2 linked regions of the Schizosaccharomyces pombe genome follow. The protein of the gene in region 1 purifies or fractionates together with the protein of each later gene. This does not show direct contact. Each region holds a gene or a part of one and is shown on either strand. Other genes may lie near its edges. The genes, in order: dms1 and SPOM_SPBC16A3.12C.

Region 1 (4,220 bases):
GGGAAGAGAATGATGTCGTTCTTCTTTCTCTTGTGCGCAACAATGACCGGACAGAGGTCGGATTTCTTTCCTCCCCACATCGCGTTTGTGTTTCTTTATCTAGAGCTAGGAGTAAGTGAGATTTTATGAAAGGAATTATTAACATATTATCAGGAGGATTGTTTATATTTGGAAATGCGCAACTTGTTGCGGAGTCGAATCCCTTGTGGTGGGACGCAATAAATACCCTCATGAATGATGAAACAATACAAGGTCTAGGAGATCACCTACCTTTGTTTACCAAAGATGGTACAATTTATGTAAATGGTAAGAAAAGCAAGCAGTTTCAGTTTAATTTTCTGACTCACTCTGTAGATCCTGTTGAATTGCTTGACGTTAATATGCGATTGACAAGGAAATAATGAGGTTTTAATATATTTATACTTTTACTTAAATTTATAGGGTTTCTACTTTTTTTTACAAACTTTTGTCAATAGTCACATTTAATATATTGACAAGCATTAGAAGGGATTTAATGAAAATAATATTCACGAACTGAGTTCGACAAATAGCGCGATAAAGATACAACACGACAGGCTTTTCAATAGCTTAAAAATATCTAGAATTTGACACAGGATGATTTAAGTGAACAGCCGAAAGTATAACGATTATGATGGACGAGTTTTTGAGGATGTCGTTTTTGAAGAAGTATGAAGGAAGCAAAAGACAGATATAGCAATTAGGGCTATGACTGTTGCAAAAATAACTTGAACAGACAGGATTGTGGATAAAACATTCGACAGTAATGTCTTTGTAAAATTTTCACTTTTGTCTGAAGAACTTTGCAGAGTTGCTTCCGTCATTGTGTCAAATGGAGATTTGTCCGGGCGCTTTACAGATTCTTCATTTTGGATATAGCGTTCAACAAGTCGGGATTTAATAGACTGGTAGATTAGTAATTGACGAATCAGTTTTTTAGCTCTTACATCTTTCTTAGTAGATTGAACGGAGGTTAGACATGAATCGATTTTGGAGAAAGCCATCTCAAAAAAGGACTCCGTGGCAGCGAAATGAAACTTATTCTCCTCAAAGGCTGATACAAATGCATCCTTAGGGGAAGTAACGGTACGTACTTGCATTGAAGAAAATTTTGGATGTAAAATGATAGGCAAACTGGAACTTCTGTATCAACAGGGTTAGTACGTAAACGAAGATAAAGATACAATCACATACTCATCCTCGAAAACAGTGGAAATATCGTTTGTGCTTGAAGCCTCTAATTGCTGGTAGAGAACAGGATCCACTGAGGTAAGTAATGTAGGAGAAGTGATAGAAACGTTTACGAATGCTTCAATAAGATGACAAGCGTCCTGTTTCGATAAAAGGTGATTGGGATCATTCTCCACAAATTCCGAAGCCAACTTTCGGACTTCTTTTTTCATCCAAGGGTTTTTCGTAAACAGCTCACTATAATGAATGTCAAGGAGAGTGATAAGTTCGGAAATGGAAATCTGCAACCATTGTTAGAGAGGAAAACAAGATGCTTCTATAGAAATGATTTAACTTACCTTCGAATGGGATATCTTGGAGATCTGTCCAAACAACTCTTGGCTTTTCGTCAATTCATTAGGAACGGAATTCATACTGCAACAAGTGAAACTTAATAAATTTTCAAAAATAAATTTTGATTTGAAAGCAAATAGTTCTCGAAGGGATTGAATTTCTTCCGGCGAAAGGAGTTTAAAGAAATTTAATTTTAGATGCAAAAGAACAGTGAATCAGAACAAAAAAGGAAGTTAATAACTCGATTTCGCTTTAATAAATAAAAATATTATCATAAACACATTAAAAATTCTATCAATAGACCTTAACTATGTTTTTTATACAGAAAGGAGTATGCCGTCAGTCAAGTTGTAACTATATTATCATTTCCATAAGAAAACTTCTTGTTTTTCCTATTGATTGAAAAATTTACTAATTAAATAGTATCGTAAACTTCAAGTAAAATTCATCAACTAAGTCGTAAGGGACTAATGGTTGAAGATGAACGAAGACAATTTCATAAAAGTTATCGAAGTAACATGTGACTTGAGTTACCAAATTATTGAAAAGGGCATGTAGTAGTAAATATCAGAAAAAAAGTAGGTAAATAATAACAAATGTAGGCGAGTTAGAATAAGATTCGTTCTTTTTTATTATTCCTTTTTAATCAACAATTTGTTTTTTTTTATTGAACCGAAAATCATCGACGCCGAGTAAGAAAGAGTGAGATTATAATAATCCTTGACATGAAGAATTTTATAGTGAAAAAGTATCTCTGATCTTAAAACTTTCATTCATTTTGTCAAGGTCTGAAATGGGGCACATTGGTCAAGTTTCATTTTGTTCACCCTACGAAATACCTATGCACATAATTCACACATTGACAAGGTACGGAAATGCCGAATATTATAATAAATCAAATTATTTCTAGTTTACCCTTCAAATCCTAAATCTCAAAAACTCTGGTACAGTTTCTTTTAAGTGATTTAACTTACATTAACCGAAGTGACATTTACAATTTTCGTTTCAAACAATATCTACATATAAAGTACTGTGTTATGAAGAACTGGCCATAGCAAGATTTTGCTCTTGAGTTCAGTAATTCTCTAAGTTTTAGTATACCAATTCCACATGCATATCGAATAATGCGCATCCTTTTATTTCATTTTAGGTACTTTTTCATGATAGTTTGACATTTATTTTTTAAATCTAAAAAATAATAATAATAATGTAATGCAGAAGCTGTTTCAGGTATCAACATACCAATAAATTCTAGGATTTCAATCTAAGCTTAATCACAAACTTGCGATTATATTTTTTGGTAATGCTAAACCATCGTTTGAAGGATTTTTTAAACCATTTTAATTACGTGTTTTGATATCTTTGATACGGTAAGAAATGGAGCTTTTGTTTCGTCAATTGCCAATCTACATTTTTCTTGTACGAAGGATTTTATAAAAAAATATGATGACAAAGTTTATGATTAATTCAAGATCCTTGACAATAAAATATAAACAAATTGCTATAATTAATAATAAATTTAGGAATATATTTAAAATGCCATAACACTCTGAACATTTTGAAATTCGAATTATATTCCTTTTCTTTTTTTTTTTTTTTTGAAAATTGACAGATCTCTTGGGAAAAACAAATTGTGATATAACCAATTGGGGTTAAAAGTACAATAAAAGAAAAAGAAATATTGGAGTAAATAGTAAAGAACTATTTTCAGCTTTATCCATATATATTGGATTCTTTTTCTCTATTTTTTGCAGCGTATTTCGTAACCACCAAAATCTCCAAACTTTGAAAACTTTAAGCGTCCATGCGTTAATGTATTGCTTAATCGTACTACATGAACCCGTATGAAACAGAGATTTATAAAGTTGTCCCCATTCCTAACAAAGGAATGGGTATGATTGCAAAAGTAAAAATCCCCGTCGGTACAAGAATTTTTGCAGAAACGCCTTTGATAAGGACAAAAAGTGACGCTAAGGAAATCGAGGAAGCACTGTCTACAAAAACAAAAGAAGAACAGGAAGCTTTTCATAGACTTTTCAACGCTCATCCAGACACTATGGGACCATTCCTTGGGCCATTTTATTCCAATGCGCTGACCATTGATGAGACAAAGGGTGGAATGTTTTTACTTGGTTCTCGAATGAATCACGATTGTAGTCCTAACGTGAAACATACGTGGAATCCTAGACTTGATCAGGTTACGGTTCATGCTGTTCGCGACATCGAGGCTGGCGAGGAAATACTTACGACATATATAGACTTACATAAATCACATACGGAAAGACAAAAAATATTGCTCGAGCATTTTGGATTTAAATGTTATTGTAGTGTTTGCTCTGTAGAGGAACGAAAGATTAGGAAAATCAGCGATTTAAGGAGAAAGCAACTGGCCTACTATGACCGAACCATGGCAAAAATGTGTATAGTTAATCCAAGAGGTGCTCTAAGAGCATTGAGACATAGGATACACATTGCCCACGAAGAGCTTCTTTTCGGTCGGTTAGATATAATTGCACTTCTGGATGCCTTCCGATTATGTGTCATCCACGGTGATTTTGAGAGAGCCAGTATTTTTGCAAAAAAGGGGACTAAAGCAATTAGTTTGTATGAAGGAACTGATTCTGAAAAATATTTGAAAATTTCCAAGTATGTAGAGAACCCACGAAGTCATGCTCTTG
Region 2 (4,306 bases), on another chromosome or scaffold:
GTGGTCAGGCTTGGTTCCATTATGAGGAACTGGGCGAGAGAACTTATCATGATGGCATGAGCAGTGTTCCTCGTGCTTCCATGGCTTGTGATCGGGCTTGGTTCCATTGTGGGGAACTGGACGAGGGAACCTACCGTGATGGCAGTGTTCCTCGTGCTTCCAGGGTTTATGGTCAGGCTTGGTTCCATTGTGAGGAATTGGACGGGGAAACTTACCGTGATGGCAGTGTTCCTCGTGCTTCCAGGGTTTATGATCAGGCTTGGTTCCATTATGAGGAACTGGACGAGGGAACTTATCATGATGGCATGAGCAGTGTTCCTCGTGCTTCCAGGGTTTATGGTCAGGCTTGGTTCCATTATGAGGAACTGGACGAGGGAACTTATCATGATGGCATGAGCAGTGTTCCTCGTGCTTCCAAGGCTTGTGGTCAGGCTTGGTTCCATTATGAGGAACTGGGCGAGGGAACTTACCGTGATGGCAGTGTTCCTCGTGCTTCCAGGGTTTATGGTCAGGCTTGGTTCCATTGTGAGGAACTGGGCGAGGGAACTTGTCGTGATGGCATGAGCAATGTTCCTTGCATTTGTGATCAATATGAGTTTTATCGAAATACGTATTCTTGAAATAATCGTCTTCAAAATATTCCGAAATTGTGTGATTTATGGCAACATCTACCATCAAATACATGCCTTTGCCGTGCAAAGCATCTGAAAGCTCTTTTAAGTCCTCTTCGTTCCCGAAGTGAGGATTAAGACGGTAATAATTTTTAGGTCTATGCCCGTGGTAGGCTTCCCCATGATATTCCGGGCCTTCAAGTTGTTCAACGACTGGAGAAATAGAAATCGCTGTGAAACCCAAATCTCGAATATAGTCAAGATGATCAACAATACCTTGCCAATTTCCTCCACAGTACTTTTCAGCTTTCACATCGCAATGAGGTACGACCTTGCTGGTAGCAAACCTATCGGTCATAACATTATAAACGGATTGCTTTTTCCATTCCTCGGCAGATAATGCCTGGACCGGGGGAGCAACGCCCAACACGAGAATGATTGACAATGCGAGATCCTTCAATGACAATTTCATTTCGTGTAGTGAGTTGTTCCGGTGAAGATACAGGGAACTTTTGCCAAGTATATATAGTATTTTTAGGCGTAAACAAAAGGACTGCTCAGAGAGCTATATTTGATAAACAAATAAACGAACTATTTCATAATATGGAAGCTTATTTCTGTAAACAAATAAAATTCATGATTTGATATGTCGGCGTAAATAAACATTCTATTTTTGAATATAAACCGTAACTTAAATTACTATGTATGGATGTTTGCATTGTGCGACCACAACATTAGTTTAATGGTAACACTGCATAATGCCGCAGAATGATCAGCCTCATTGTTAAGATCAGGAAAGTTAAATAAAAAGGATAACAATTAAAAATGTTTATTTACGAGTAGTTCAACCCTTATGTAAAATACTTGTTTTGTATTTAAATTTAGATCAATTCATTGAAATAAATGATTAAAGCTATTGATTGATGTAAAGAAAAAGAAACAAAGTCGATTTATTCAAGTTATATTTGATATTGACGTTTTGTAAAATTAATCATATTTTCGTATGCCATGGTGTTGTTGTTGATCAGCCTATTTTTTACCAACAATCGAATTTTTTGGTAGTATGTCAGGATTCAATAAAAATCAAATATATTGGTACGTAAACAATCCTCTTCAAAAGATTCATTGTTTTTAACGTGAAAAAGGGGAGACTATGTTGGCGTAATTGCAGCTTTCGTCGGTGTGTATACCGAATTAGTAGCACGAATATTTATTTACATGATACCTGAGCGAGTCAGGGAATGGTTTCGTGTACGTATAATTGTTCTGTATCATTACTACATAAGCTCTAAAACTACGGATGGAATGACCGATGCGGTTCAAAAGTGTCGAAACATTTATGAAATATGCGAAGCCTTTGGGTATCGGGTTGAAGAACACCTTGTGCGAACTCAAGACAACTTTATACTATGTCTACATAGAATTACACATCCTAAGCAAAGCCAACATAAGCGTGAAGTAGTTTATTGTCACCATGGGCTCATGACAAATTCTGAATTATGGGTTGCAGTTAATGAATCCGAGAGAAGTCTTCCTTTTGTTTTAATTGAATCTGGATATGATGTTTGGGTAAGTTATTTGCTTGCCAGATCAAGACTCTATCCCGAGCTATTGTTGAAGACGCGTAAAGAAAAGCTATTGATTTAACAAATATGAGAAGGGCAAATGTTTACATTAGATTTTCGTAGGATATATTTGGCGTTGACTAACAATACATTTAGTTGGGCAACAATCGAGGAAACAAGTATAGCAGGAAACACATTACTTACAAACCGAAGGACGAAGAATTTTGGAACTTCTCGTTAGATGATATGGCCATGTTTGATATTCCCGATACTGTTGATTACATCTTGAGGGAAACAGGAAGAGAAAAACTAAACTATATTGGCTTTTCTCAAGGAACTGCTCAAGCAATGGCTGCACTTAGCATTAATCCGGATTTGAATGACAAAGTAAATATTTTCATAGGGTTAGCGCCTGCTTATGCTCCCAAAGGCTTTTCAAATTACTTCGTTGACTATATTGTCAAAGTTAATCCAAAAATTATGTATCATCTTTTTGGGCGCCGTTGTCTTTTACCTTCAGTCACTTTTTGGCAAAATATATGTTGTATGTTTCTTTTTTTTAAATTTCAACTTCATCTGCTTACTCTACAGATCCCCCAATTTTTGTAAAAATTGTCGATGTATCCCTTAAAATTTTATTCAACTGGGACCTATCCAACATTTCTCTTAATCAAAAACTTTGCGGTTATGCACATCTTTACTCTTTTTCAAGTGTAAAGAGTGTTGTTCACTGGCTTCAGATTATAAAAAACTGTACTTTCCAGCTTTATGACGACGATATGGCTCTTCTAGCTGGATATGGTTCACGCCATTACCAAGTTCCTCTGTTTCCTACGAATAATATCAAATGCCCAATGCTGATACTATGGGGAGGTAAAGATACTTTGATCAATATGGAAGTAATGAGAACTGCTCTTCCTCCCCATGCAAAGGAAGTTTCGGTAAGCCTTTTATTTTATAGGTTTGTTGCTCAATATGCTAATATAAGTTAGATTGCTCATTATGAACATCTTGACTTTCTATGGGGCCAGGATGTTAAAGAGGAAGTGTTCCCAGTTGTAATAGATGCCCTTAAGCATCATTCATTAGGCAAAGCCAAACATTTCGTTAAACAAAACGGTTTTCATTAATGATTAATTAATAATTTAAAAAAAAAACTTCTATATAACGCTTAGATAGATATTTAGAACAACTTTAATTTTGTCAGACTATTTTCAACTTTCATAAACAGCATATCGAAGTGACTTCGAAGAACCATTGTTTCGAGAACGATGCCACGAAATAATGAACTGTTTACCACTTTCACTAGGCTGACTAAAAGCAACTTCTGCAGGCGATATAACGTAACCGTAAATGAATTTTTTTAAAGCATTGTCTAATAGTAAACTTGCTATCCCTTGTTTGCGTCTTGAAGCTGATACCCAAATCCTGGAAATACCCAATACAAACCCCTTTCGTAGATTTTCGTTTTTTATATATACTGCGGAAGAGGTGCTATTGTTGTTGTTGAGTTCAAGTTCATCGACTATGTATGCAGAAGATATACGCTCTGCCAGAAGTAATCCGACACATTTCTTATCTGATATGAATAGAAATGTGGTATATTTATCTACCCCAATTGTTTCAATAGGCTCACTTGAAAGTTCGTTATTTACGAAAGATAAAGCTTCCTCTGCTTTTCTTTGATCAATTAATGAGCTTTCTGAATTTATGCTGTATATGCAATCGGAACTCAAACCATAGTTAACGCGATAAATAGGAGAGCATTGAAAGGACACAGTAACACCTCCTAGAACCCGAGAATGAAACCTAGAATGAAGCAAAATATCTTCTTCGCTCGTTGAATTGTACTCCATAGAACATTCTGAACAAGTTACGGTGGAATTAGCCAAATCTAAGTGTAACTGGGTCATGTTGTCTGAGCTGTTGGAAATTGCTTTTGGCGTTTGCTTTTTCCAATTTGGTGTCAGATTTCCACCGTTTCCTAAAAATGCGTCCAAAAATGCTCTTTTGTTGTTTGTTTCATCGGATAAAGGTGCATAATGCTTGCTACCGGTTTTCCTTCCATATGTTTTAGGCTTTACTTGCTTAGGTTTATCATGGGATGGCGGTACTAAGTTATTATAGCGT

What was found.
Region 2: the proteins of dms1 (region 1) and SPOM_SPBC16A3.12C purify together in Schizosaccharomyces pombe (affinity purification with mass spectrometry, with the first as the bait; one study listed by BioGRID). This does not show direct contact.

The regions. Positions count from the first base shown.
Region 1 is NC_003421.2:2,032,385-2,036,604, forward strand, and holds dms1 (protein Dms1), read right to left. Parts: upstream 2,015-4,220; 5' UTR 1,623-2,014; coding exon 1,548-1,622; exon of another isoform or gene 1,491-1,547; coding exon 1,213-1,490; exon of another isoform or gene 1,162-1,212; coding exon 966-1,161; exon of another isoform or gene 924-965; coding exon 648-923; 3' UTR 501-647; downstream 1-500. Other genes in the region: helicase Hrr1, read left to right, coding at 1-111, 154-306, 355-401; histone lysine methyltransferase Set5, read left to right, coding at 3,377-4,220.
Region 2 is NC_003423.3:4,273,583-4,277,888, forward strand, and holds SPOM_SPBC16A3.12C (triglyceride lipase-cholesterol esterase), read left to right. Parts: upstream 1-1,652; 5' UTR 1,653-1,674; coding exon 1,675-1,706; intron 1,707-1,756; coding exon 1,757-2,180; intron 2,181-2,332; coding exon 2,333-2,720; intron 2,721-2,767; coding exon 2,768-3,117; intron 3,118-3,168; coding exon 3,169-3,306; 3' UTR 3,307-3,390; downstream 3,391-4,306. Other genes in the region: meu7 (alpha-amylase 4), read right to left, coding at 1-1,083; mitotic cohesin N-acetyltransferase/DNA polymerase eta Eso1 fusion protein, read right to left, coding at 3,391-4,306. UniProt on the Schizosaccharomyces pombe protein: Probable lipase.